Linked DNA regions of Arabidopsis thaliana. The protein of the gene in region 2 interacts with the protein of the main gene of each other region in a pairwise test. Each region holds a gene or a part of one and is shown on either strand. Other genes may lie near its edges.

Region 1 (7,286 bases), about 12 Mb from region 2:
TTTTCAAGGAAAGTAATAATTTGGTGGAGGAGTTTGTACTGTTTAGTTATGTGTAACGCTTAGAACTGACGAAAACATAACTTACTATAAAAGGAAAGCTCATCATGCCATTCAAAACCCAGACATTGTCGGGAACATGCAAACCCTCAGGTTTTGGGGAATACCAAACTTCCAGCATATATACCCTCTTGTCCAAATCCAACTATGGTCGTCACATACACAAGTGTTGCGTATCTGTGTTACTGATTTAAGAGATTTTAATATCTTCCTATAGTTTTGTATGATTTGTTCCGTACGTGTTGACCTTTTCAAACCAAAAGAAAAAGAAAAAGATTAAGGAAATATATGGCGATCGAGTAAATTATGACATGTTTACAGATTTTGCACTCATGAAACTGAAATATGCTTTGGGAATTGTTTTCTAATAATGATTTGTTACCCTCAGTGCAATGATTCAGTCAAAAATATTTATATTTTTGTACAATTAGTCAAGATCACACGCAAACACAGTTTCTATTCAACCCATTCAGATTTGAAATAAATTGATAAATTATCATACAAAAGTCAAAATGACAAAAACTAACCAAAAATGCTATGAGTGTCAAGAGTTTGAAGAAACTGAAAGCCCTCTTTTCGTATTCACAAACAACAGAAGCCTTGATTTGTGGTAAGCATATTCAAATGCTTAAATATTAAATTTAATTTCTAGTGTGCCAACCGAAAATTCATATACATATAAACGTGATATCTGATACTAACAAAGTTGCAAAAGCTCCTTATCAGAAAAAGACATAGTTGCAAATGATATATACATGTGAAGATTCATACTCCATCAAATAACATGTTCTTTTTCATAAATGATATTCTATTAAATTAAATTAGTATCTCTATAGCAGAAAAAATAAGAAGATAGAAACCCTAAGTACACGAAGAATTACTAATAAAATGAAAATTTCTATTTAGTATGTTCCACGAAACTATCTATTTCGAATCTTACTAGCCCGTTTGTTAATTGTTACCTAAAAAGGTAGGTTAGATGTGTTAGTTCGAAGGAGATTAAGACAGTGTCCAATTTGCTTGACGATATATGATCAGCATATATAGGCACTATATGAAGTGCGAATTTTAAGTTTTGAAACTAGTGAATCGTTCCAAGGCAGAACTCATTGATATGTTTTACTTTTTTCTTATATATGCCCTTGTATAGGAATTCAATTTGAAGTAGCTAGCAAATTTAGTTTCATCTAGATGCGACCTACAAGTTCCACTACCGTAGTAGAGATGAAAGATATGGATTGAACAAGTAGATTAAAAAAAGTATAACAAACGATCCCTCTCCAAAAGATCAACTATGTTTTCGGTTAAAAGAATAATCATTACTTTTATAAAGCATGCTATTTTGTAGTTCTTCATACATATTATATTAAAAAAAAGATCTAATATATCTATCTAACTATGTTGTTATTATTGAAAACTGTGCAATTGTATATAGGCTGCCCCAATATATATATATATATATATATATATATTTACTTATTTATTTGCACGCAAAAGATAAAAATAAATTATCAATCTTCAGAAAACAAAAAACAAAACAAAAAGTAAACTAAGTCTAACATATCAATTTACATGAAACGTAAGAACTAAAATATGTAGAAATTTATATACGATCGAAGAGATAAACAATAATTAAGGAGACAAAATTGTATCCATTGTCATACATAAAACGGTAACAAGCGCATACATATTATATAACATCTAACGCAAGCTTATAGCTTATACTATAATCATATAATCAACTATAACGTTCTACTAAATAGCAAGCTTAGAGAATTTCATATGGATGAAACTAATTAACCTTAGAGAAGCATCATATCTTCTAGAATTGTGAACTTCGAATCCTTTATGGATAAAGTTATTACCATCTAATTAAGCGAAACCCAAACGGAGTTCTAGATCCAGATCTTGCTCTGATTCGTTAATCAAACCAATCTCAAGCTCCAAGCTGATGATTTCATCATTCCTCAGGATCTTGCAAGCATCTTTACTGGTGAACCTTGTAGCCTCTCCAGCCTCCACTAAAAGAGATGATTTCTTAGTCTTACAAGCGTTTTCTGGTGTATGTTTTGACTTGGGGCTCAAGGAACGGATCAAACCTGCCCTATATCTTGGTGAGGATGGAGGAGAAAGGGTTGGAAATAGGGTTAGAGGAGAATGATGAGGAGGAGGAGAGTTTGCCATGGTTGAGTAAGAGTAATTAGGGTTAGGGTAAGGAGGAGAAGGTGTTGAAGATGATGATGGAGACTGTTGTAATCTGAGTCTTGCTCTGTCTCTTCTGTGAACATTCATGTGGCCACCAAGTGCTTGAGCCGATCTGAATTCCCTTTTGCAGAAGCTGCAAGTGTAGGATCTTGGTGGCCATGAAAACCCTAGAAGATAATCATGATCCTGTTGGCAATTATCATAATCTCCATAGCTCCATGGTGAAGTTCTTGCACGGCCATAGAAGCTGTTCCTCAACTCTATGCTGTTTGATCTCTCCATATGTGCAAGCTCTTTCTTTTTGGCTATGCTAGATAAAAAAATTGTAAAGATAATTAAGATAGTACTAGTAATGATTTGTGGTACATCAGTTTATAAAAGCAAAGTGTTTGTAAGATCTGAAAAGATGAACTCACTTTTTTCCCCTGGGAAAAATCTAAGATATATCTATGTCTGTCTGTCTCTTAGAGAGAGAGAGAGAGATATAGAGATGAGAGAGAGGTGTGTGTGATGATAGGGTTGGGGCTCTTTGGTGTTAAGACTGTGAAAGAGACTGATTCTTGGACGCATTATCAAATCCCCATCTTAGATTTAATAAAATGAAACTTTAAAGAAAAAGCTTTATTTATGTTGGGGTAAACATGTATTAAGCGAGCTTTTCCATGATTTGATCTATGGAGATGACACAAGTTAATTAAGTACATCTATTACTTTCATTTAATGATGTTACACCTTTAAGTTTCGTGAAAATCAACAACCAATTTTGTCTTAAGATACCATTCAGTGATTTTATGCTATCATGAAATAGTGTTTATAGTGTTATCTATTAAACATATTCACAATTTTAACGAGACCTAAAAGATATATGGAGTAAAGATAGCATATGTGTAATTAAGAAGGAAATGAAGTTAATATTGAGAGTCTGAACAATTTGTCAAACAATTTATAGATAAAATCCTCAAACAATTTGTCACAAATGAAAAAGAAAATCGCACTATCAAAAATATCTCAACATAAAATATGATTTTATTGAAAGGAAAAAGAAATAATAGAATGGGATGGGGAAAAAGAAGTAGAAATGAGTGTAGGATTTCACTTTACAAAAAAGAAAGTCAATTGTCTTGTAATCATGTTATGTAAAACAAGCATTGTGAAAATTTTATAAATAACCAAGTTATCGTTTTTGTATCGCAATCGAAACATGATGAAATCACAGAATATCAAACTTTTGTAACACCAACAAATTTAGCGACCAACAAATAAAACATTTCACAAGCAGTAGATACCATGAGAAAACACTATTTTTAATCATAATTTTCTCTTAAAGTAGTAGATATATGTTATTATTATAAAAGGTAGAGAGGAAAGAGTGATGGGTGAATATGTAAAAGATGGGAGTGTATAAATAAGGAAAACCTCGGCGAGCAAAAGGACATATTATATCAAAAGTTTTATACCAAAAATGGAAAAGTGGATGTTCCTTTCTCCCATTTTTCTTAAATACATTTAATATAGAATTTATCATCTATATGTATTAATAAAGCTTTCCTCGTGAGCCATATCTTGACATTTGTTTGTTAGCAAATCATAAATAACGACACACATTATTATTAAACTTAGGTCTTTAGATTTTGCCTTTCCTTCAAAGTTTTATATAATACTATATAGATTCATACATTGTCCCTTTCTTTTGTTTTATATAGTTAATATATCACCATGTGTTCTGGACCAATTCCTTTCAACATGTGTTGTGTTTGCTCAAATTGTGACCCTTTACTTGACATTGATTTCATCGTCGGCACATATCTATGTTTAATTTGGAGTTGTTTAATTATATATCTGGAACATTCTATGGGATGAAAATTAAATGTTTGAACTTGCTAAATTTTCCATTTTATGGTTCTATATAGAGGAATCTGTGAGGTATATAATATTGAAGGATCTAGGGAAATTTGAGGGGACAGATTATATGAATTGGGAAGCAACTCCTGTTGATTTTAAGAGATTTGTTTTGCGATATAATTAACCCGAGTCGAGCTGATCTTGAGTTTAATAACATCTGTGTTCTAAAATTTAAAATCGCATAAATTTGCGAAGATACGTAAAAACAAAAATATGTTTTGAAAATTCCTTAAATAAAATTAGATTTTAAAATACGGTTCATGCATGGTTTACATATGATTGATCTAGTGAAATTGAATGTAAGAATTTTATGTTTGAACTCTTTGGATAAAATAGATTTACTAGTAGGATTGTTAAAAGGCCAAACTGCAAATAGTTTGGAGGAACCGTACAAATGCAATTACAAAGCTCAACATTCACCAACGAGGAAAGTCTCATTTACTACACATTCAACTGCTTTATATATATATACCCAATATGTACACATTTCACAATTGTCGAAACACAAGAAATTATCTAACCATCTCGCCCCTTTTCAATCACTCCTCTCGTTGAAATCCAACTTTTGTTACATGTTACTACACTTCACCAATTGACAAAAAAAAAAAAAAAAAAAATCAGCTGAGCTTAATATTCGTAGAAGTCTTGTTTTATCTTCTAAATATGCTACTTAAGACAAAAAATAAATAATATATTTTACCCTTTTTTTTCGTCAAAATAATTCATAAAAAATCTGACCTGCTAGGAAAAGTGCCTTGATTAGTTTTTTTTTTTTTTTTTTTTTTTTTAAATCATTGATAACATTCCAAATGGGCTTGGGTTGAAGATTACAAGTATCTGATCCAGTTACAAAAGCCCAATAGAAAAAAGAAAACTATCGACGGAATTGAAGGATCGGACCCTTCTGATGGACGATTGCACGGTGGCCGGAGTCTTAGATCCGGTGAACCCGAAATCCCCAACTTCACGGCAACCACGGTGGATCGACGAGCCACAGGCGGAAGTGCCTTGATTAGTTATTCACGTCAGGAAGAGTATCTACTGAATAAATTAATACAACATACTCATACGGAATGATTAGACTCAAAGTATTGCGGAATTAACCAATGGATTTCTTAAGGTTCTCTGACTTGAAATTAAATTACTTTATACATTTTGTTTTTGTATTTTTCAAGATCCTTAAATTTATAATTTTACAACCACGCAAATGTAATATTGTTCTTCTGCGCGTCAGCAAAAATGTCTCTTTAACTCAAAGTTCTATATCAAAGTAATTAACATGTGTAACTTGTTTGCATGACACATGCCACATATAGTGGGACGGATTTTGGGCTGTTTGACACATATTAGTTGTGATCTTTGTACCATACTTAATGTTGTGGTAGATGTTATTAGTATATATTGTACGACGTTAATCTATTTAAATTAATAATAGTAGGTTCCAAATTAAGGACGATGAAGATGTTCAGGTGGATCATTGACGTTGTCTTTTACGGATTATCAATGTGCCGACTAATTAAAACTAATTCGATAAACGAATGAAAAAATGGCACTGGAATAAACCAAATGATATAAATACATCAACTATTTTACCATCAAACAAAAATCGATTTATTATGAGTCTTCTGAAAAAAATAAAAATAAAAATGGAAGTCTTAAGCAAAATAAATTTAATATACTTAAAGACATTTTTTTTTTACTATACTACAATATTAAAACATAGTAAATGAGTTGTCACTAATCTTTTGCTAAAAGAAAATGGATTTCTTAACCTAATAGCTAGTAATGATCGCCTATCCATAGTAAATTTAGAATTGCATGACTCTTTCTAGTTTCTACGAAGTCCAACTAAAAAGAAATGTCACACCACCAATTTAAAAAGGTATAGCAAAAGAAAAAGTTCCCCGTTTATTTCCAATATTTTTCGGTTCTCTATCATTAATTTTCACTTATCCAAAATTTATAATAACCTGAAATGATCTGTTACCTGGTGAATGGAGTGAAAAAGATGGGAAATTTTCGGACAGAGAGAGTGGAATTAGACAAAAGATTCTGCCAAAATTAGAAGATGATATCTCTCATCATCGATAGGACACATCCAACGGCTGAAAGAGAAGGTCTAAAAGTCTAGTGGCCACTCTCTTTTTATTTTAATTTGTTACTTTTATTTACCATTTGTGAATAAAGGGCCTAGATTTTTCAATAGCTTCGTTGATCGAAGTTGCAGAGTTTACTCGCAGTAGTTCAACACTTTATTGTTTATTGCATGAGCCCCTTCCCTACGTGTTTTACATCATCACTAATTTTTTTTCTCAAATAACTACTATTTTTACTTTATTATAAGACTCATTATTGTTTATTTTCTTACAAAATTGTGAAAGTCTCTTTCATGAATTTGAATTGAGAAGGTTTTGTTTTTATCATTTTCAACATATATTTGGCTTCGTGGTAAAACTTTGTGATTGGCTGTCACATTTCATGTCAAGTCTTGTTTTTTTTGTTTATATTTTTTTTTCTATTCTTTTTTTTAAAGGTTTGGTTGCAACCTAAAGAAGTCAAATGGAACTATACAAATTAGAATGGTCGTACCAACAAATACTGATCGAAGTGGAACCGAATAGAAGTATCAATATGGTTCGATAACCAATACAGAAAAAAGAACCGGACAGGTAATAATTTGAGCTAAATTAAAGAGTTATTTTTTTTTCTTTAAATATATCCTAAAACATACTATCTCTCTTTCAAAATATAAACTGTATAAGGTAAAGGCATGTTTATTAAAATAATTTGTTTTTTTTCTTTAAAAAATTTATTTTAAAAAATCAACAAATCCTAAAAAAGACTACATAATATAAAATCGTCACAAGTTACTAAATACATTTAAATTTACATAGAACTTTCCAAGACATTCTATAATATGAAACAAAATAAAATTTTCTAAAATATAGGGAGTACTAATTTAAACCAAATCTGTATAAACATGTCTTTATTGTTTAAAAGTTGTATAATCAAAATAGACTATTGATTATGTGATTGGTAATGAGTGTTAATGACTATATATAATAAAGTTTTCGGTAAAATACAGTAGTATTTCCAATCATAGTTTTACAACATTTGATTGC
Region 2 (8,197 bases):
GGAAGTGAGAGGGAGTTTAATGGATAAAGAGATGGAGTTGCAGATTCTAAGGAGTGCAATGGAGAAGAAAGTGGAAACCGCAAACACGGAAGCCATGGAAGCTGAGCTTAAAAGAGTGAAGATTCAATGTGAGCAATGGAGGAAAGCTGCTGAGACGGCAGCTTCTATACTGAACAATGATGAGGAAAGAACAGATTCTATTGAGACTAGCAAAATGTTGAAGAAGTTTGGTGTGTTACTCAAGAAAAACCATAAGTAATAATAATACTGATTCTTTTTACTTGATTTAATAAAAATGGCATTATTGTTGTATGTAAATTTATAAAATTTCGATTTGTCTAAGTTTAATTTTTTTGTTGAAACGTTGCCACATTTGTTGATGAAATTTGTATTGTGAAATGTTGTTTGAATTCAATACTTGAAAAATTATACCTTACTTGTCTGAGTGTGAGCTGCTAGTAGCAAATTTAGTTTGGTCCTGTACATTGGTTTACACTTTACATGTATAGAAGAGTCAAGAGTGTAAAGTAAAAGTTTGTAATAGAATGTGAAACTCTAATTAAGAAGCCACATGAATACCTCTCAAGTCTTGGATCTTCCTTTTGACATTTTCTTCTGTCTATTTTCCTTTTTGTTGCGCACTAAACGCTGAGACGGCCCACTAGATTGTCTTTGGTAATGACAACCAAATCCACTTCATGAAAACATTTGACTTTTTTTTTTTTGGCAGAGACTAACCCATTCTACCTAGTTTTTAGATATCAGTGACAATAATTAATTAACTACTAGAAAATGTCCCACGCGATGCGTGGGTGAAATGAATGTAGTGAAATATATGTCTATAACTAATATATATTAATATAATATTAATTATTTTATAATACATTCAATAAAAAATATCATAAATATTGTGATTATGATATTTTAGTTTTAAACTAAACATTTAGTTTATGAATTATAATCTAAAATTATTTTGGGTATTTATAAATTAAAAATTATCGAATTGATCAAAAAAGAAAAATTATAATATTGATATACAAGATAAGCCTTGTGTTTTATTTAAATATATGAAAATGATATGCAATATTTCTCTGAGTAAAAGATTTCATAAGTATATATCATATTGATTATAGTATGTGTGTAAATTGTAAAGTAGTTAATAGATTTGAAGTTGTGAGATTGATAAAGTCTTGATTAATGAGTAAGATTAACATATATGAATATTGATATATTAATACTAATTGATATCAAAAGAACTCTAAATACTTTATACAATTAATATTCAAATTATTTACTATTTCTTCCATCTTTGAACAATATGGTAAGAAAGTATTGAATTTATTTACTAATGATTTACTATTTACACATGATTTTCAATAAAGAAGTTTAAAGTTATTTCGATGCACATAATCAAATATTGAAGAAAATATACCATAATTCGGTTGAAAACTAAATAAATTTAAAATTTAAAGTGCAATGTAACAAGTAACAACATACAAAATAATTTAAATTAACAGAACTTCCCACCAATGATATCAATGAAGATTATATATTTTGTATAGTTTCATCATTCATCAAATCTCGTAGGTTATATATTATCTTTATCCATGTAATTTATTTCTATATTACCTCATTTGCCAACAAATGCATCAAAAGACGAATTATTATGGTCACTATAAAACTTAAGAAACGAAATATAGTGTAAATTTAGCATGATAAGTAAAAGATAAACATTCTTTCAATTACTATGATTAGTAAAATGAGTTATAAGTTACTGTTTAGTACATAAGATTAATAATAAATCAAATGTGTACAAATAGGAATAATGTTTGTATATTAAACTATAAACTAAATGAAAGAGACGAAAATTAAAGAAGTAGCCACACATTAAAATAAAAAGTGAATATATTAAGCAGGACCAACCAAGAAATATCATATGGATCCAATAAACATTTGGCTATATATGTTTATCATTTGGTTGAGTACTCACTGTTGGTATTTTTCATTGAAAAACTAAAATAATTTTAAAGATTAATATGAATTTTAGCAACTTGACTTAAATATTTTATAAACAACATTGGTCAACTTCAAAACATGAAGAATAAGTAGAAAATGAAGGTAAAAGATACCTTGTTTCTCATGTAAAAGTGAGAAGGTACCTTAGACATTTTTCATCAAGTCATTTCTAAAGGAAATCCACCTTTCACATATTCACTTATGCATATACTCTAAAATTTGACTCAACCTCTTTATTTCAAAACCTACGAAAGTCACATAAAATTTTGTTTTTAAAGATATTTAGTTAAATATATATATATATATATATATATATATATATGTATATCCATTAATACTATGTTTATATCCTCTATTAAAATATCGGACATGTTCATAAAATAGCAGGTTGAAGACACCGGGTTCCCATGTCGAACCACTAAAGTGAAGCTAAAGGCCTTTGACACCATTTACTAAACTTTGAAACTTTGACTATGGTTGTGACTCGAATAGTTAAAACACAAATAGCTGGAGAAAAAATTAGAACCATGACATTAATAATTAAATAAAATATACATCACAGATGAGCATCGAGCAAGACATATATGATTTGCTTACCTATTACCTTCATCATGAACAGAAATTCTCAGTGTAATGATTGCTAAGAAATTCTTAGTGTAATAATTTTTAAGCCACTTTGTATCTACCATTGCACCTATAAAAGGATGTATTAGCAAAAACACATGAAACATGTTATAAAGAAGAGAAGTAACAAAGTGTGAATCAGTATCACCACATTTGGACGATACAAAAGCTACACAAAACAAATATTAAAATTATAAAAATGAGAGAGAGAAACTTGATTTTAGTTCATTTCTTTAGTGAAAATGAGAAAAATAAAAAACAACGTAATACAGAGGACGAAGCAAACCTTTGAGATTACCATTCTTTGGTTTCTCCAATCCGTCATACTCATATGGTTCGTGCTTTGTCTTTTTTTCTCTTTACTTTCAATTTAATTATGTGGAAAGACTTAGCAGACCACAAAATATTATTTCGATGTTTAAACAATCCCGAAAGCAACACAGAATGATAGAAGTTTAAAAGGAGTTGTAAGAAACAAACCTTGAGGAACCGATGTTAATGTTGTTCCTATGAAGAATCCTACCAGGAGCAACGTCACCACCATCGATCAACTCTCTAAGCCCCCAATTCTCCACCTCCTCTTCTTTCACCTCCTTCTTCTTCTCCTTCTCCACATGGCGGTTATTAGGAAGCTTCACAGGCAACCTCTCGAAGTAATTCCCGAAACTTACCATGCACGTTTTTATTATCTTCGTATAGAAAGAATGAAGCTTCAACCTCAAGCGTTAACAAATGCAGAGAAACCAACTTAAAAAAAACTGACATGCAGCGTCTTGCATTTTATAAGGTGAAGGGTTACACTAAAAATGATATTAAATATGATACTAAATATTGAAATCATGGTCATAATTACATAAATGATAATTATGTTAGTGTAACGTAACTGCTTTGATTTATGAAATAGAACAGTTTAGTTGACTAAAAAAAAAACAGCAATAGTTAGACATAATAAATAAAAGAAAACGTGATATCACATGTGTCATTAAATAGAATATTAATTAAACTCAAAGAATATGGAAAATAGTATATTTAAATTTAAGAAGAATGACACATGTCGAATGAATAAAGCGCCACTTGTAAGATTTTTAGAGCACAAGTTTGAGGAAACCTTACTTTATTATATAAGATACTAGGTTTTATTACAAAACTAATACTATTTTGATTCCAAACAAATATATATTTGCTTAAATGACAGAATAAAAACTGAATAAAACAATAAAGATAACAAGAAAAACAGTAAACCACTTAAATAATTAAATTAGACAATTAAATAAGTAGAAATTACATGTCACTGAGAAAAACCACTTATCATAACAACTATTTAGATAAATTAAATCCACTTACATAAATACAATGTATATAAAAAAGAAATCATGTTTTTTTACTATAGTTTACATGATAGAAGAAAAAAATTCACTACATTGAAATAAATCTTATATATTTTATTTCACCTAATTACTAAAAAAAGCAGAACAAAGAAACATTGTTGAGGAAAAAACAAAAGAGTTTTTTTTGTTTGTTTGGTTTTGTCAAATTAACAAAAAAAAAATGAACGGTGTCGATAAAAAAATAAAAAAGCCCTAAATCGTTGAATCGCATACAAGCTCCTATCTTCTCCAGCGTCGGATCAGATCAGATCAAATCTCTCTCTCCATCTCCGTCTCCTCCTCCAATCATCATTTCTCTCTCCGTCTCCCGCTCTTTTTCGAATTCTCCTTCTTCTTCAGGTATTCTAATCACTTCTTCGCGCTTTCTGGGTTTGGTTCCTCGATTCTCCCGATTTCCCAATCTCTACCTGATTATCTAGGGTTTCTGAGATGGCCGAATCGCAAACCGGTGGTGGTGGTGGTGGAAGCCATGAGAGTGGCGGTGATCAGAGCCCGAGGTCTTTGAATGTTCGTGAGCAGGACAGGTTTCTTCCGATTGCTAACATAAGCCGTATCATGAAGAGAGGTTTACCTCTAAATGGCAAAATCGCTAAAGATGCTAAAGAGACTATGCAGGAATGTGTCTCTGAATTCATCAGCTTCGTCACCAGCGAGTAATTTCTTTCTCTACTTTCTCAAAAATGTTACCTTTTTGTTGCTTTGGTGGTTATAGCGTGTAAAGCCCTCTTCTTTGTTAAGTTAGATTGATGTTATATTCATTGGGTTGTTAAGCAAAGTCACTATGTCGATTTTGGAATATTGTTTTGCCTTTTAGGGCTAGTGATAAGTGCCAAAGAGAGAAAAGGAAGACCATCAATGGAGATGATTTGCTTTGGGCTATGGCCACTTTAGGATTCGAAGATTACATCGATCCCCTCAAGGTTTACCTGATGCGATATAGAGAGGTATGTTCCACTTCAGATTAGTCAGTTTACATTCTGCTATACATTCACTGACTCTCTGTTTTTCCTTCTCATTTCCTTGTCTATGCTATTTGGATTGGAATTTTGCAGATGGAGGTTCGTGGTTCTCCTCTTTCATTTATCTTTCTGATAGTCGAATTTTGTACGTGGATCCTTTTATGGGGTATATGGTGTATGATTGTATCTAATTAGGATTGTCTGCTACCCTTTGCTATTGTTATCTGTCTGATAGGGTGACACTAAAGGATCAGGAAAAGGCGGGGAATCGAGTGCAAAGAGAGATGGTCAACCAAGCCAAGTGTCTCAGGTAATGACTCGGTCTTCTCCAGTTGATATGGTCGTTTACCTAAGCATTAGCTTCTCCAGCTAATTTATTGTTTCCCTGTCTTTACTTTCTGAACAGTTCTCGCAGGTTCCTCAACAAGGCTCATTCTCACAGGGTCCTTATGGAAACTCTCAAGTAAGTGTTTTCCGACAAAAGAAATGTTGATACTTATAAATGAATTCATTCTCTACATAGAGCAGAGCCGGGGTATAAAGAGAGAATATTATTAACAATTAAAGGATTTAAGGACTTTAATAGACTCGATAAAACCGTCATATATGCATTATCCACTTTTTGAAATCTAGACATAGGTTCTCATATGTTCCAGTCTCTGAGGTTCGGCAATAGCATCGAGCATCTTGAAGTGTTAATGGTATTTGTAATCTATCAATATGCAGATAATTGATTAAACTCGTTTGTGAATGTAGGGTTCGAATATGATGGTTCAAATGCCGGGCACAGAGTAGTACTAGGACACTATTCATCACAATCTTCCGAGACTCGACTATGCCTGTTGTGTCTGAGAATCTGAGTGATCCACTTTCCATAGATATGGATTGTGGTATCTCAGTTTTTGGGAGAGAGAAGATTTGTATATGATTGTGTTGTAGGGAGAAGAGTTTGGTTTGCTTATGATAAGAATTGAAAAGCACCTTTTTTTTCTTTTGACTGTTATGTTTCTTAGGTTTTGGTCTTAAGCAGAAGCTATTTATCACCACTTCATTGGCCTGTTGATTCTTTCATGCAAGTGAGCCCGTAACTTTTATAAAACAACATCATGATTTATAATTATCTCTTTGATTTTTTGGTCCTAAATTCGAGTTTCATTTGACATCATCCATTGATAAAAAGAAACGAAACTTGATATTGAATCGTTGTGGTGTGGTAAAATTCACGATCTAAGTTTGTGATAACACTCCGTTTATCTGTTGGTGTATATTGATAAGGCTTTCTGTTACTGCTCAGAATCTAACACATGGGACATGTGAATGTCATATGGAACATGTTCATGTTTATGGGCCTAATCTTGATCAAACAAAAATAAAAACTTTGAAATTTAAGAAAAACTGAATAACAGAATCTAAATGAAACAATAGTAAGAATAAAAAGACCAAAAACTCTTTAAAAGAGCAAAACCAAAACCTAAAACTCTTGAACTAAACTCAATGCTTAGTGATGAGGTCTGAAAGGGTAACTACCATCTGTTGACGGTAGGTGACAACTTCTTCTTGGGAACATTCGGGAAAGTAACAGCTTCGGTTGATGGTTGCACCGTGACTCGAAGCTTAATCCCAGCCTGACAAAGACCGGTCTTTAAGCTTACAAAATAATGCACTCCTGGTTTAGTGAGCTTAATGAGATCGTGTCCCGTTTTGTACACAGCTACAGTAGAAGTCGATTCGCAAGATCTGAACTCAAGTTCATCGGTGATTTCCCTAACGTCGTTGAGTTCCTTGTTGTATTGGAAAAAGAGAGTATCTTCAACATGAAACTGTTTACCCTCACTCCACTTGTAATAGTAGTAACTGTAATAAACGCTCCATCCTCCGTAGTCACCAACTCTGTAGATCTTACCAAAAGGAAGGATCTTGCTCGGTGGTGGTGGTGAAGGAGTAATGCGACGTGAGGGTTCATGGGTCTTGCTCGGTGGTGGTGGTGGTGGAGGAGTATTCGGACGTGACGGTTCATGGGTCTTGCTTGGTGGTGGTGGTGAAGGAGTAATGGGTCGTGACCGTTCATGGGTCTTGCTTGGTGGTGGTGGTGAAGGAGTAATGGCTAATGGGTCGTGACCGTTCATGGGTCTTGCTTCGTGGTGGTGGAGGGATCGGACGTGACTTTTCATGGACGACAAAAACGTCTAGTTCCAGTCCATTGACGCATTGAATATGATTTGAGCTGATGAAGTAGTGAATTCCTGGTTCCTTGAGGGTTACGACATCATGTCCTGTATTGTAAACGGCTTTAGGAGAAGAGGAGTTGCATGACTCGTACTTTAAAGCATCGGAGAGTTGAGTGACGTCGTTAACGTTCTGATGGTATTGGAAGATCAAAGAATCCCCGACGTGGAATTCCTTACGCTCAGCCCAAGAGTTCGTCTTCCCACTCCACCCTCTAGAACCTCCAACTTTGTAGATTTTCGCCGAGCAGCAACTCAAGAGAATCGTGATCGCGAGCACAAAGCCAAAGATCTTCTTTGTGATCATGTTTTGATCGTATAAGAAGAAGAAAAAAAAGAAAGATGATGAGATCTCTAAACTCGTTGGATCAGGAAAAGTATTTGGAGTAGAGTTTATGAATGTGTTTGTGAAAAATAAGTCACGTATTTGCTCTGTTTATATAGAGATTAACCATCCCAAATCATAATCCTTGTCTTCTTAGGATTTCGTTTAATTTATCCTCTTTTTCTTTATATACAAATAAAATTCAAAACTTTTTTCCTAATGTAATGAAAAATCTTATCTTGTTTTATTTTATACAATTACAAAATCTTAGAATTCTCTATTAGTTAGTTCATCGTATTTCGGTCGACGGCTATATGTTTGGATATTGGGTTTTACGCATTAAGGCCCATATGAGGTCAAGTTTGCTTTTTTTTTTATGGGCTTTATTAGGCTTCAACGAGATTAGTTTTTAAAAGTAAGAAACAAAAATAAAAATGGAACAAATCCAACGGTCGAGAGTCGATCAAAGACATTACACGATTCATTAGTGAACAACCGCGCTCACTAACTCAAAAACCCTTGATTTCTCAAAGAGTGGGAACAAATCGAATCTAATCTTCAATTCAAAATTTTATCTTCTTCCTCAGTCTTTGGGATCTTTGAGCAAACTCAACATTTCGATCTCTCTGTTCAATGGAAGATAAAGAGAGCAAGAAAAGC
Region 3 (7,062 bases), on a different chromosome or scaffold from region 2:
GAGAAATATATAGAAATGATAATTAGAAAAAACAAAAACAAAAATAATTCAATTAATAACTTCCTCATAAGAGTTCGCTAAAACCGCGCTAAAATTTCTTGAAAGACAAAATTCAAATAAATCGTTTGTGCGCCAAATTCCGTTGGAAAACAAAGAATAAGAACGAAAAATGAGTTGGAAAATTTTTAAAATAGATTCAGGTTTCAAAATAAGTTTTTTTTGCTAGATCTCTGGATCTTGTTGCCTCTAGAATGTAATCTAACAAAAAGCTGCAAACACAAAAGAGTCTTGACAAGTAAAAGTGATTAAAAAAAAAAGAAATAGCCGAATAAACATCCTTGTTTACAGTACCCTATCTCTTATGAAATAGATTATAATATATGATTCTTTTCTACTCTCATAAGGAATCACTAGAAGATTATGTTTCCATGGGTAAACTGAGGACTTTTTTATCCGTAATCCTTGTGTTTTTGTATGCATAAATTAATCTAAAGCCAATATTCATAAACCATTAGATTCATTTGAAAGACAACAACAGAAATACATTCTTTTTTTTTTTTGGACAAAACAACAGAAATACATTCAACAACTAAAAAACATAACATTGAAAACATAAGCAGAACTCAAAAAGAAATTCAAGTTCTCACAACAGCGGTTACAAAACCCAATCCAAATATTAATTCCCACCGTTTCCTCCATTTGCCCCAGTCGCATCCTCCTCGGTCCAAGCTCCAGGCATCTGCGGGTGTGGCGCGTGTATTCCTAAACCGTAACAAACCGGAGTTCCTATCACCGTTCCCGGCGGCAGTTCTTCATTGTTAAGATCTGGCACAGCCACATGATCAGCAACATCGTCCACAGGATCAGCAGCGGCGACAACGGGCTCTCCCTCGTCCTTAGGGACATCATCACGCAAGAAATCAAAGATGACGGTTTGAGACACTACGGCATCAACATCAGATTTCCGTATCGTGAGTCGGTTGCTCTCTTGAGCATGGAGCCATGAACGCATCGTGAGGTCCATGACAAACATTTCACAAGCCTTAGATAAGAGATTTGGAGCCTCAGCAGCGATCATACTCACATCCGGATCAAACTTCATTATCCTCTTGATACGAGAGATGGGGAACTCGTGATTCTTGACATTCAAGTCACCTTCCATCCCCTTTGACCAGAAACTCTTTAGTTGCTCGTTATCTTTCGGTGGCTGTTGGTGGTTGTTGTTGTTGTTCTCCATTTTTTTTTTGTTTGAAGTGTTTGGGTTTGAGATATTTTTATGTGGAGGTTTGCATATATAAAGGAAAATTAAGCGTATATAAGATATGGTAGGATAAGATTAAGAAGTGATCTCTTTACATATATGAATCTCAACCTATTTAGTAGTTTGTTAAGAATATTTAATGTTATTAACTGTATGTGTGTGACTGACAGACTTGTGGTTGGTATTATAAGAAGAAAAAAGAAAGAGATTTGTTTTTACTTAAAGTGTATATTATATACCAAATAATAGTCTTATAAAAATGAAACAAAAAAAAAAATACCTTTTTCTCTATAAAATTGAAAGTTAAAATTTTGCTGTACAAAACTTAGTTTTGAATATCTTGTTAAAAATGATGTTTTCAAATGTTAAATGTGAAAGCATAATTTGCTCAAAATTTTAAGAGAATTTTAATAAGAATTTGCTCATGATGTTAAATTGAATTTTACTTAATTTACATTGGTTCAAATTAATGTATGAAACGATATATAACAATAATATATGAATGTACAAAGTACAAATCCTGTAGTCCCTCTAAAAGTTAAATTTTGGTTATTTCTCTAATTATTTGATTTGTTAACATGAGGAGGTAGACACTCAAGAGAGAATCTCACATTTTGATGTTTAACTGCAAAATAAAAGAGAGATCATTAATAAATATGTTAGTAAATTTTGTCAAACAAAATATTAAATTTAAATAAAAAGTGACCAGTTTGGAGTTGGATTGTTCCAAAAAGTGAACAGTTTGGAGTTAAACAAGAGTAGCCGTTTTATTTTGGCGCCTCCTTCTTCAAGATATTACTGCATTACTCCTCCATAACCACATTATCAGTTTCATCACTCCTCAGTAGCACCAAAACTCTTGTGTGGAGAAGAGGAAACACACCTTTCAATACTCAGTTTGATTATACTCGTAGCCTTTCGAACCAATGCACTTCAAAGCCTATTTGGCGAAATCTCAAGTCTTATCACATCTATAGACTTGAGATTTTCCCAAATAGGCTTTGAAGTGCATTGGTTCGAAAACATAAATGGTGGAAAGAGATAGATGGTTTTTGCACAAAGTTCGATAAATATCAATCTTGAAATTCAAAAACCAAAGATATCGTTTCCCCTTAAGATCAGATCTCGAAGTCTTAGATAAGGAATCCATAAAACTTGTTAAAAGAGTACTACTCCTAAACAAACAACTCATGCAGGAAGCTTTGCGCGGGTGTTGGAACTTGTTTTTGATGAAGTGGTTGTGGCCACTTTTCCGGTGAAGACGTTCATCGGAATGACCGGTTTTTCGGCACAATAGAATCATTGTTGCAAGCACTACGCGGACCGTGGTGGTGCATTGGAATGTCAAAAATGAAGTTATCATTTGAATGAGAAATGAAGGTCCAAAATAGCTGCCTTGGTATATAATATACAGTAAGTAAGAGGAGAAATCCAAACATACATGGGTTGGGTTTGAGATTTGAGAGTTGGGAAATGGGCTTACAACCAATAAAAAATATCTACCTTAATGATAGAGTTTTGTAACAACAACAAAAAATCAGTTATGACAATTAAGGTCAGAAAACGTTTTTGACATTGTTGTGAGAATCAAAATCTCATAAATTTTCGTTAAGGTGAGATCACCTCATGAATATATATACGTTGAGCTTGGGCTATGTAAGTCAAGTCATTGTCTTCTCCTTCTCTTCATAAGATCACAAACATCAAAATTCCTCTCTTCTCTCTTCTTCTTTTGTTTGGGTCTGAGAGTGTAACACAAGACTAGTATTCGTTCGGCTTTTGATTTTGAGTGTTGCCAATGAAAAGAGATAACAATTTTCTCATGCGACTCTAATCGTCATTAAACCCTCGCACTACGAGGAGATGTTTGAGTTATAAAGGAGAGATCATCAAAGCTCTCGACTCTGTTAAGCACCGTCAATCTCCGTTCCTCAATCATCTTTTTGGTATTGTTGAATTTCATTACCTGTTCTATATTAGTTGCTTTAAGTATTAGGTAGTGTCTATGTTAAAATATTCGTCGTACAAAATCTAGTGGTGGGAATTAACAAAAAAAAATAAAAAATCTAGTTGTGGGTTTTATTTTTCTATTTTTGTTCAACCATTATCTATCTTCTAAAATAGTTATGGTCTACTCTCAAAGAACAAGGTTGCGTATAATGTAAACATGGTTTTTTTGATGACTAAATGTAACATTTATACAAAAAAAAATATTTGGAGAAATTGTTTCAGCATTGTTACAAAATTAGAACTTATATTGTTGCAATTTTAGGAATTTTAATTTTCCAATCAATTTGTCTATTTTGAAAGATCTTGTGGCACTATTTTGACGAAGATAAGATGGAAAAGGATGATCAATAGCGGAAAGAAAGAGCAAAAGGAAGAGCAAAATGGAAATGGATGACCTTCTGGATCATTTTCACCTCCTTTACCTATAAGCAACTGAAAAGCAACTTGATGTGAGAACCTGAATAGTTCTTTCCTTGGGTATGTCCTTAGATTTTGATGGCGACGGTGGTATGCATTGGTCCATAAGGTTGTCTCTCAAGAACCTTTCAAGTTGAGTATATATTGGCTTAGTGGTGAGAAAAATGGATATGTGGGTTTATTGAAGAAGTAGATTGATTCAGGGTATTACAGGATGAGTGGATGCTTCTCAATTGGGAAACATATAAGCAACGACTCTCTCAACTCGTTCTCACATAGAGTTGATGTGGACAATAGGTAACAAAGGATAATGCACATATATCCTAAAAAATGCAATATTTTGGCTCTTTATGCAAACTGGTCACTATCTTGGAATATTTCAACTTCTTTAGAAGAAATGAACAAGTATGAAATGGTAGAAGTGCTTCAAGATTTTGAGGAAGAGTGAGCTGTGACGGTTGTGCCGCTTGTTAAACTCATGGGATTTACAACTTACAACTTTATTTTTAAGTCACAATCGTCAAACATTCTTTTTCATTGAAATCTTGAGGCACTTCATACTTGTCCACAACTTCTTGGGGAGTTAAAATATCATGTGACCAATTTGCATAAAGAGCCAAAATATTGCCTTTTGTCGCTTATATGTGCATCAATCCTTTCTCACATATTGTTCACAAGGCACTATGTGAGAATGAGTTGAGAGAATCATTGTTGCTATGTTTCCTAATTGAGAAGCATCCACTCGTCTTGTAATACCCTAAATCAATCCACTTCTTCATTGAACCCACATATCCATTTTTCTTGCCATTAAGCCAACAAATGCACATCTTGAACGGTTCTTGAGAGACAAACTTATGGACCAGTGCATACCACTGTGGCATTCCATAATCATCATAAGTAGCCCAAACTTGGTTTTCTCTCAACAAAGCTTGAGTCTGATCCTTGTCGAAGTCTTAGACATCTGGAAGACTCGAAACACTCATAACCACCACATTTTATTCATCTTTTTTGATCAATGCAGGATGAATATCCAAATAGATGCAAAGATCAAATGGTTATGTTATGTGTGCTCATTATCGCAAGCCCTTTGGAGCAATTGAGTACTTGCTCCATGGATAATCCTTTTTAATCGATAGAATTATGCTAAGCAGCAACAAATCACGAGACTGAGTCAGTTTCCGAGCTATGATATAACTAAAGAGTTGTCACCAGAAGAGTCGTCGGTATGAATATAATCTACTCGGTAGTCACTAGAGGAGTCACTAATCAGGGCTAAATATGAATGTATCTCGAAGCAGGGCTATATGATTGGAATGAGAGTTTGATCATATGTTATATCATTTTGAAATTCTTATCATCATTTATGTCAAAGTTTTTATGTGATTTGCAATGAGAAGTGGAGCTTATAAGATATTGTTCCTCTATTTTGTTCTGAGAGATGTAAAGACTTATTAAATAGAGAGCAATCATGTCGTAACTCCAGTTTAAAACTGTTACATATCCTGCTAAGAAGACTCGACAGTTTCTTGCTCACCAGGAAATAGGGTTTCAGATAACGAAAACAAACCAAGTACAATTCACAAAATTTATTTCTTAATTTTTATTTTTATTTTGACTTACACTTTCATTTTAGTAGACTTTATCTTGTTTCCTAAGTCTCGTAGGTCTTTGCTTCCTTCTAGGTCTTGATAAAGGATTTTCTTCCTTTTAGGTTCTGTTGAAACCCTAGAACCTTTTTTTTTTCAAAAAGGTTTTAACACTAGAACCTTGTTTACAGCTTTCTTCTCTTTTATTATTCACCAGCTATTGATTTGATATAAACGAGGCTAAGAAAGAGAAAAAAAGAGAGACAATTAATGTTCAATGTATCGTTTACATGAAAGAAAGAGAAATATAGAAACGCCTAGTTAAAATGAATCGGTTCTACAAACTGATATTTTGTTATTATTATTATTTTCAAACTGAGCTTTTGTATTTTGACTGAAGGAAAAACATAACTGGCAAATATAAAAATTATTCTTCTGAGAAGAGAGCCTCGGAGGTGTTGTTTCCTTATTTCTTGGGTACTAATTCATCATCATTATCATCCTCAGATGGTCGCAGCTTATGGTCATTATGCCGTTCTTGTAGCATAATGTATAAATAATAGATGCAAATTAAAGACCACATGATTATTTGTGTTCATTGTTGCAAGCCATTTGAAGCTTTTGAAGTGTGTCTAGCTCCATCGATGGCTCGTGTTACTCCTGTGAACAATGAATTAGCATGAAGTCCATGAAACAACACTAGTCATCAATGGAGCCGGATACTCAAAAGCTTGAAAACTTCCAACATGGAACACACATAACGCTGTGATCTTTGCATATATTGGATATTCACACTTCATGCTAAAGCGCGGAATAGTGCCCACATGCTGAGACGATCTGATGATCTTAATGATGATGATGATGAGAAGTTAGTACCCAAGTGATCATGAAACACCTCCGAGATTCTTCTCAAGCTTAGGGTCGTTTTCGATCGCTGTTAAAATAGTACACAATATCTTTTGGTCTCTTAGTTTTGATCCTGCAAAAGAAAAAGATTGATAATCAGAAAGTAGAAAGTGGGAAAACTTTTCATCAAACGCTTTAGTATGATTTAATTTCTTATGCCCGAGGCACAGGCTAGAGACCAAAAAAAAGTACTCTAAAATCTGATATATATCCCAACGAAATACAGAAAAGAAGCCTCCTAAATAATAAAATCAAAGTAAATAACACGAGCCATATATCAAAGGTGGTTTCTGTAAACCATACCTTTGCCTTGAGAGTGAAGAAGCAGTTTCAGACTTGTGGGTGATTAATATGAGAAAGAACAATTTTATCTTTTTCTTCTTTAACGTTAAAGTGAAAACTTCAAGAGATAAAATTTATAGGATGATAAGTACATGTGGTAGTGAGGATTAATAGAACATGCATAAAACTATTTATGGTAAATATTCCATTCCTTTGTATATTCACAAATTTTATATTCTCTGTATTCCCTCAGTCAAAATATTCGTTTCTGATTTCATTTGATTTCCATATACAAAATCGCTGTTTGTAGAAATGAATCTTTTCTAAATGGCGTTTTCATTAATTTATTTCTTTGTTTCAAGAAAAATATAGTTTGAACAAAGACTTTTTTTCTTCTTAATCTCTAAAAGGTAACCAAAGAATTTCTACTCTAAACGAACCCTACTGGATATTGAGAATCTTGAAAACCTTTTTTTTTTTTTTTTTTTTTTTTGTAAATATGATATTTTAAATTTTGTCAAAAAAACAAAACAATTATTGTGCTGGATTTTTTTTTTCTTCTCAGTTATTCTTAAATGTTCATTTCTGTCCGTGTATAGT
Region 4 (8,330 bases), on a different chromosome or scaffold from region 2:
ACGACACCTCTCTAATTTTGTTTCTTTTCGAATTTTTTTGAAAATAATATAGAAGAGATTTTCAACTACTTCAAAAATGAAGGAAGATAAAATTCAATGGAACCGAAAGAACAAAAGAAGGTCCACTTTGGTTAAAAATCTCTGCAACCACAATGATGCCCACTCTTTGTGGTTCAGATTCTTCATTCTTCGATCCTCTCAAATCTCTTAACTACTCCTACCTTCAAAAAACTACTTCCAATTTCATTTTTGGTTATGGATAATATCTTATCATATAGATCTTGTCAAAATCAGACAGTTCATGAATAGATCATTGGTTGGAAAAATTGATATGAGAAAAGAACATTGACCCACTTGGTAGCTTGAAAGCTACTTTTAGAAAACATATTGTGATAAATATATAGAGAGCTTGTGTCAGCATCAGTAACATTATACATATCACTATAGTAGCATAGTGTAGTAGATTTTGTAGTGCATTGATAAAGTTGGAAAAGAAAATAATAAGCTAGAAACTTAAGGGATCTTTGGTTTCTTCATATAGATGCACGAATGTTGTTGGCTTTGTAAAATTATATATGTAGGTGCATCCGAATGCAAAATTAGATATATTTTGAATGTAATGAAAACTAGAGTTTGAATGCAATCGTAGCATCAACAAGACAACAATGATCAAACGTCTAAAATATCATTCTTTGAATTAAAAATGAAACAAATTTAAAACAACGTCCGATTTTATATATGTTCACCAATTTCATAAAGAATTCATGAATTTGCCATCACTCGAGAATCCAATTTTCTTATTTGTTATAAAAATGTTTACTAGTGTAGTTTTTAAATTAACAAAAATTTATTTGACACTAACTAATATCCAAAAAAAAAATAGAAATAGAAGAATCCTACTCGATGATGTTTTATTTGACAAAATTTTATTTGACACATACTTCACATTTGATGATGTTTGCTTTTTACAAGAATCCTACTCGAATATATGGTTAATCTTTAGCAAGAAAATAGAAGAATAAATGAATAACCTCTCCCGAATCTGTGAATAGTCGATGAGCTGTTTCCAAACGAAATTTTTTTCTTTTCTTTTCATCTAAATGTGCATTGAGAGTCATCATTCGGATTCAACATCCAAATTCAACGCCATGATGTTGGTTATGAATTTTTAAAGAATACAATGCAATCTTGTATCAAAATAACTAAAGACAACATCTGTTTAAGCTATTAGTTTTTTTTCTTATGATCGATTTAATTTTACATAAATTAAATAGCTAGAAAATAATTTGTATTCAATGAATAAAATTTTATGTGAAGATAAAATCGACATTGATTAATTGGCTGCCTAGATACCGTTTACTTTGATCATCAAAAGTATTCTTCCACCGATTTATAAAAAATCATGGCGACCTAATAACTCTATACCCATACCCTTCGAATGGGAACATATTGATGGGTACATTTCGTTGACAATAGAATCTTAGATATTTTATTGTAATTACCACAAGAGTTTTCTTAGATATTCGTTGCAGAAAAAAAAAACAGGAAAACGATTTATAATTTTCTTAGATATTTATATATCCAAAAAAACAAACAAGAATTGTAATTACCACAAGAGTTTTCTCTCTTTCTTCTACAAATATGATATATATCTATAACTCCTCTAAAACATATTTATCTATCTCTCTATATAATCTATACACAAAGATTGATGGTGACAAGATCATTGGATTGCTATCTCCAGTTCTTCTGGTTTAAATATCAGAAAACAAGGATCAAAGGATAATGCATTAACCAAATTTCGAAATTACTACTTTGATGAGCAAATGTAATAGAATTTGCTTCTGATTTTGATGATTGATTGATGTCAACCATGTTGTTTCAATGAATCTTGCTTAGTAATGAAAACCGAGGCTAGATGTGTTGTAGAGACTCTGTGATTGAGTTTCCCAGCTTCCAGATGGCTGAAATAGAGAGATACAGAGACAGGTTACTTCACTGACAAGGAACAAAAACTCTGACAAGTTTTTCAGTTTCATATAAAGCTGTACTTACAGCTTCGATAGATGTCGTTTGGTTCGGGTTTATCGCAGACAAATCTAGAGATCCTTGCTGGTCTAACGGAAACAATGGCACATCAACCATTATTGATTGCTTTGAAGCAACTACATTTGTAAAGTAAGCCTGAAACTGAAAATTTCATAACCCTTAAGTTTGTTGAGCAATATCAATATGACTTTGAGGGTCTAGACAATGTGTTTTCACCTGTTTTACGGATACATCTTCCACGGCAAGCTCTAGTTCCGGGTTCAAGACAGCAAGTTTCATCGACAGGAACTGCAAAGTATGGCTCTTTAAGAATTAGACTTATTCTCTTTGGTTAATAGTGAAGTTAAGTTACAGAGAATCATGGTTTCATTGCTTACCTCGACTTGTCTTTGGAGACATTGAACATAATTGATGATCTCATCAAGCATACCAGCTTTTCCTGTGACCTTATTGCATCCAGGCACAATATCTTGCAGATATTTCATTTTCTTGCTGATCTTTTCTCTTCTCGCCTGCAAATCCAAATCCATTCAGAAACCCTAGATATATCATGATTCTTGTATCACAAGAAACTTATTTATTTTTATTACCCTTTCTGCTAAGCTGTGTCTGTCAGTGGCTTGGCCTCGACGAGCTCTCACGTGGATATAATCTAATTTCTGATTCTCTGAAGCTCCTTTCGATGTCTCCTTTGAAGTGTCTGAAGATGCTTCAGTGTTTCCCATGTTTGATTTTCCTTTCATGCTTGACTCTGTCTCAGCCTCTACTTTGATCTTCTTCTCTGTCTTTTGCTCTTCCCTTGTCTTAACCTAAGACATTATTAATAAAAAATATCAAAAACCATGTCTCAAAACAAAGTTTTTATCCAAAATTTTGATCTTACAAACCTCTGGTTTTCTCTTGTTCTTCAAGGCAACGGCTCTGGTTTCTTCACCGGTCTTCAACAAAACCTCCATTGTATCCACAGGTTCCATATGGCAGCTACTTGTTCTTGAAATGGATTCATGTGGAGGACCAAAACCCATGTTATAGTTTGGTCCAAAACCAGATCCAAGCATTTGAAATTGGCTGAAACTACTCTCCAACAACTCATCATTGTTGCTTCCATGGAACTGAAGTATCTGAAGAAGTTCAGGTGAATTATTACTGCTATGGGACACAACTTGTTGCAGTTGCTGTTGTTGCTGTTGTACCCATTTAAGCCTTTCAAGTACAGACATGTCCATAGAGTTTAAGGACAAGCTTTCTTGAGAGACAAGACCTTCCAACATATTGTTCTCTGCAGAAATCTTTCAACTTATGATCTTTTAAAGTGAGACCAAAAGTACAAAACAAAATAGAGAATGGGAAAAAATGCAAAAAAGCTCTGAGTTATTTGGTGGGTTTAAAGCAAAAGAGGATTTGCTATAAATGTATGAAGAAGTAGAGATTTAGGTTATGTAATATTGTTTTTGGGTGGTTGCTTAAAAAAGATGAAAGAGTTGGGAGAAACTAATCCATTGAAATCATTCTTCTTAGCTTTAAATAGAAAACAACATTGACCCACACACATAAGGTCCCCTACTTCTTATGTTTTTATTTTATTTTCCTTTATAAATGTAGAAATTTCATTTACTTATTTGTTATCTCTTACCTCTCTAGAAATAAATACTCTCTTACCAATTCAAAATGGTACCACACGTTTTTTATACGCCACAACTTTTTTATACGTATCCCTTAAAAAATATATAGCAATAACAATAGTTTTCTATTTTACGTAGATGTTCAACATAACATTTGTATCGGATTTGAGACCGATCTTTTATGATAAGTTTACGAAAATGGTCGTACTGTAGCTATGTGATAGTCACAAATGACAGTGAGATAGATTAAACGTTAGCGTTGGTGGATAAATCGGGTCCATCGTTTAGAGACACTTGACTATGACTAGGAGAAAAAAGAGGCTCAAGAACAAATTGCGGAAAATAGTAGTAAAGATTCGGTATCTAAGAGAGAGAGGGACATAAATTGATAAAAGAAAAGGTTGGGAGCAAAGAAGGTGAGAGGAGAAGGTGTAGGGTCTAAGTGACATAACCCACACCATGTGGGCATGTCCTTATGAACACTAAATTTAGAGGTTCTTTATCCCTTCTTTGTGTGTGTTATGTTTTCTTTTTTTTCTTCTTCTTTTTTGCCCTTTCAAGTTTATGAGAGGAGCTTTACAAGGAAAAAATAAACAATGAGTGAGACCTTAACATATATTGACATTTGGAATAGTCAAATTAATTGAATTCAATCCAAACTAAAATTCAGAAAATTGATTGTTTCTATAAAACTTACTTACAAAGTAAAACCCAAACAAACTACATTGAATCCATGTAACAAAACTTATATTAAAAAAAGTTTGACCGCAAAATTTGCATCATGACATTATTGACATGTAGTCTAATAGTTTGTATTTTGTGTTGTAAATTGTAATTGTATCAGTACAAAAAAAAAAAAAACTGAAAAGAAGAAAACATCGCTAGAGAGAGGGGTCGAACCTCTGACCTTGTGGTTAACAGCCACACGCTCTAACCAACTGAGCTACTCCAGCTTATTGATAACAATAATATATAACTAACTATATTCAGTTAGTTTGAAATAAAGACACAAGACAAGATCATGCAAAAGATCTTGTCATCTTGGGTTTTCCATAAAAGAATCAAACGAAAATCCATGAGTAGATAGATAATACAGCAAGACAACAAAGAACAGTATACCACCAACCATTGAATATTTTAGAAATTAATCTATAACATGACATGTTAATAATTAAAAGCGACATCAAAATATATTTAAAATATATAAAGAAAACAATGGGTTTGAAGATAAGTGATTGGAAGGTAGGAGACCATTGCTTTTGATCAGAGTGTTTGATCATATTCTTCTGTCTACTAGAGTGTGGGCTTCCAACCTAAAACCAATTGGCAATAGGTGGAGAGACCCATATCTTATATATACCACTTAAGATCCTACTTAACTTCCGATGTGGGACATTGTCCCTAATACGCCCCCTCGAGATGATGGCTCTTCTAGCCATTGATCTCGATATGTTTGGGCATGGATCGGCGGGCCAAGTATTGGGCCGGACCGATGTGGATCGGGTTGAGTATGTGCGGATCGGGCTCTGATACCATATTAGAGTGTGGGCTTCCAACCTAAAACCAATTGGCAATAGGTGGAGAGGCCGCTATCTTATATATACCACTTAAGATCCTACTTAACTTCCGATGTGGAACATTGTCCCTAATAGTGTCCTTCTCCATTCACTGTTGTAATACTATTAAAGTTATAAGTTTACCCACTTCCAAATTTCAATCACATTCATAAGAACTGCAAAACGAGCGATTTTTTTTTTTTTTTGGATTTAAGTTCTTATAAGTTTTCCATTGTGAAAAAGTTAGCTAGTTATGTTAATATTATACATGTAGCAATATAGCACAAAGTCATTACTTTCAATCTACATAGTTGGACCAAATTGAATCAACTTTATAACATTGGCTGCATTAATGATTTTTTTCCTAAAAAATACAAGTCATGATATAATTCTTAAGGTTTCTCACATCTAAGATGTATCTGTCTAACAATATTAAGTTGTTTCTTTTTGATAAAAAGTTTTCTAATTTGTTTACTGATAATATCAAACAGAACCGTTGTAATAACAATATCGATGCCAGTAACAAAAGCTTATATGTTTTTTTGTTATGTGTAACAGTCTGATACACAAATAGATTACTTTTTTTTCAGTGTTTTCACGTCCAATTCGGACCCTCCAGTTCGACCGGTTAACCCACAATCCAAACACTTCTCTGGTTTGGGTTAAGTATTAATAACCGGAAATACTTACTATTGGACTCAAGAAAGAATGAAAGGGTGTGATCCATTTCAAACCCCATATTTCTTAATATGTTTTGATTTTACAGCAGAGAGATTTGGACAGGTTCTTCCTCTGCCATTTCAGCATCATGAGGATGATAACAATAATGAAACTCTATCTTGCGTTAAAGAAGAGAAACTCTCGGTGTTATATCAATCCCTGTGATAGAGATTTGGATTATAACTAAGATTGAGCCCTAAGTGGTGTTGTGGACCCCCTTCTTAAAAGTTGATATAGAACCACTCACTGTTCTTGATTTTCAGTTTTATGAAGAGACTTGCGGTTTCTTCATTGATGAAGAGAAGAAAGTCTTCGTGGTTTTTGAGTTAGATGAATCTCAAGCCTACAAATATGCTTACATCATTGGAGAGAATATATGCTTGAAAAAATTGGATCTTGGAGAAGTTAGAACATTTTCTTGCCCAATTGTGTGCTCCAGCTCTTATGTTCCAAGCTAAGTTTAGTGAAAATCAAGGAAGAGGAAGAGCAAAATTAGGAAAGAGAAGAAGTGAAAGCGAACCAAGTTAACAACAAGGTCTAACACTACACTATTAGTCAAAAAGGAAACAACAAGAGTTACAATTTATTAATAACTTATAACTCTTCTTTGAATTAGAAAGAAAGAAAATAAAAAAAGCTCAACTTTCATTCGTTTTTTTTTCCTTTTCTTTTGCAATGTCCTTTAAACAAGACTAATATAATATTAATTTTGGTCATAAGTAGTATTTTGAAAACTCTTGTATTATTTTCTTTTGAGCTTGAGTTGGAGACAAGGTGATATGTTCGAATTTTGAAATGAAAGCAATCGGCATGATGAACAGATTCAAAGTTCTAGTACTCATAGTAATACCTCAAAGTGTAGCATCCAATGTTGGGCCTTATATCCAATGCAAACATATGAAGTCAATGTTGCGCTTACATTAATTTTCAAAGTAGAGGAAGTAACTGTCGACTACAAACAAGCTTCGATGTTGGGCCTTACATCCAATGCAAACATATGAAGTCAAGCCTAGTGTAATCAACAGTGCGTGTGAAACAAATGTAACAAAATAATAATAAATGGTCACAAGTTCCTTCTATGACGACATTGTATTGCATGTCATATATCCAATATTCCAAGTGACCAAGTCGAAATCCAGTTTTATTTATTTGGACAATCCTTCTTTCATTCATAATTTCCCAACTTCAACGAGGACTAAAAAATTAAATTGTATTAATAAATATATAGAATTGAAACACTATAGTCTATAAATATATATAAACACTATACTACAAACCTCAATATCAACATTTACTTATTTTTAATCAAAAAAATAGGCACCAAATAAAATACCCTTCTATCCGGACGAATCCTTGTGCTTCTGATTCGATTACGAGACAAATTGAATTAGTTTATATCTTAAAATAAAAAGTATTCAAAAGCTTAGAATAATTATGATCTGGACCAGATATGGTAAATAACTAATGCAAATTCCTTTGCAAGAAAAAGTTGAAGAACTTATTGTTGCCACACTCCCACAACTAGTTTCATAGCGCCACCACCAGTAAACATGCATGTGTTTGATTCCTAAGGGGTTTTTAAGTCGACATTAAAAAGGCTAAATTGTTCAAATAGTTATCTTACAGATTGTTTTCTCATGATGGCTAAGCCAATGCTCTATGAAATTTAACTAAAAATTATATATTAAATTTTGCTGTCGAAAATTCGATAACCAAAAATCTACATAAAACTCTTGGATATATGCTATCTACTAAAAACAAAAAAAACCATGAAGATAACATTATGCGGGTTTGAATTTTGGATGATGATACAATGAACATACCAATCTGAACCACTAGATTTAAATGTTTTGATCAATAAATTGTACAATTAAAATGAAGTTTTTAACAAAGTTATTACTTTATATATATTTTAAAATTTTAATTCTTATTTTATGAAAAAGTGAATAAAATTCGTTTTTTTCGTTTCTTTAAAAGGTGAAATCATAGTAACCACTGTTTCTAAACAATTTTCATTATCTTCAAATTAAAAGATTCATTTTTTTTTATTATTTTTGTTAACCGAGGACTATCCAAAGTCTTACTATATAATCTTCCAAAATCTATAAAAATTTCAGGTCAGTGAAAACGTTTACGGATGGTCATAGATAGTTGAAATTGGGAAAACTCGAACCCTGACAAATAATATTAAATTTGAAAAAAAAAAAATCAAGATTCCATATAATTAAATGTTTTATAATTTACGTGGGCATGTGAGTACGAGGGAGCATCTTAACAACATCGACTGTGGAACTTTTCAAAGGGATCATGTAAAGTTGGAATCTGATCAAATAAAATAAGAAAACCTTACTTTAGCAGCGAAGTTTGGTCCATATAGGCTATA

What was found.
Region 1: the proteins of NF-YB10 (region 2) and SUP interact in a two-hybrid assay, tested with the Arabidopsis thaliana proteins (one large-scale study listed by BioGRID).
Region 3: the proteins of NF-YB10 (region 2) and NF-YC5 interact in a two-hybrid assay, tested with the Arabidopsis thaliana proteins (one large-scale study listed by BioGRID).
Region 4: the proteins of NF-YB10 (region 2) and HBI1 interact in a two-hybrid assay, tested with the Arabidopsis thaliana proteins (one large-scale study listed by BioGRID).

What each region holds. Positions count from the first base shown.
Region 1 is NC_003074.8:8,237,762-8,245,047, reverse strand, and holds SUP (C2H2 and C2HC zinc fingers superfamily protein), read right to left. Parts: upstream 2,793-7,286; 5' UTR 2,545-2,792; coding exon 1,930-2,544; 3' UTR 1,676-1,929; downstream 1-1,675.
Region 2 is NC_003074.8:19,772,252-19,780,448, reverse strand, and holds NF-YB10 (nuclear factor Y, subunit B10), read left to right. Parts: upstream 1-4,159; 5' UTR 4,160-4,367; exon of another isoform or gene 4,368-4,447; 5' UTR 4,448-4,457; coding exon 4,458-4,681; intron 4,682-4,842; coding exon 4,843-4,972; coding exon of another isoform or gene 4,973-4,993; exon of another isoform or gene 4,994-5,080; coding exon 5,081-5,086; coding exon of another isoform or gene 5,087-5,182; exon of another isoform or gene 5,183-5,222; coding exon 5,223-5,297; intron 5,298-5,393; coding exon 5,394-5,450; intron 5,451-5,743; coding exon 5,744-5,782; 3' UTR 5,783-6,120; downstream 6,121-8,197. Other genes in the region: RIP3 (ROP interactive partner 4), read left to right, coding at 1-259; AT3G53342 (uncharacterized protein), read right to left, coding at 3,096-3,314; AT3G53330 (plastocyanin-like domain-containing protein), read right to left, coding at 6,511-7,173, 7,250-7,519; AT3G53320 (mediator of RNA polymerase II transcription subunit-like protein), read left to right, coding at 8,171-8,197.
Region 3 is NC_003076.8:20,559,934-20,566,995, forward strand, and holds NF-YC5 (nuclear factor Y, subunit C5), read right to left. Parts: upstream 1,296-7,062; 5' UTR 1,238-1,295; coding exon 677-1,237; 3' UTR 501-676; downstream 1-500. Other genes in the region: AT5G50500 (uncharacterized protein), read right to left, coding at 2,217-2,624. UniProt on the Arabidopsis thaliana protein: Stimulates the transcription of various genes by recognizing and binding to a CCAAT motif in promoters.
Region 4 is NC_003071.7:7,951,127-7,959,456, forward strand, and holds HBI1 (basic helix-loop-helix (bHLH) DNA-binding superfamily protein), read right to left. Parts: upstream 3,614-8,330; 5' UTR 3,321-3,613; coding exon 2,937-3,320; intron 2,859-2,936; coding exon 2,640-2,858; intron 2,562-2,639; coding exon 2,427-2,561; intron 2,338-2,426; coding exon 2,266-2,337; intron 2,191-2,265; coding exon 2,056-2,190; intron 1,965-2,055; coding exon 1,910-1,964; coding exon of another isoform or gene 1,896-1,909; exon of another isoform or gene 1,515-1,895; coding exon 1,420-1,514; 3' UTR 1,278-1,419; downstream 1-1,277. Other genes in the region: AT2G18320 (F-box associated ubiquitination effector family protein), read left to right, coding at 5,094-5,183, 5,502-5,537, 6,211-6,405. UniProt on the Arabidopsis thaliana protein: Atypical bHLH transcription factor that acts as a positive regulator of cell elongation downstream of multiple external and endogenous signals by direct binding to the promoters and activation of the two expansin genes EXPA1 and EXPA8, encoding cell wall loosening enzymes.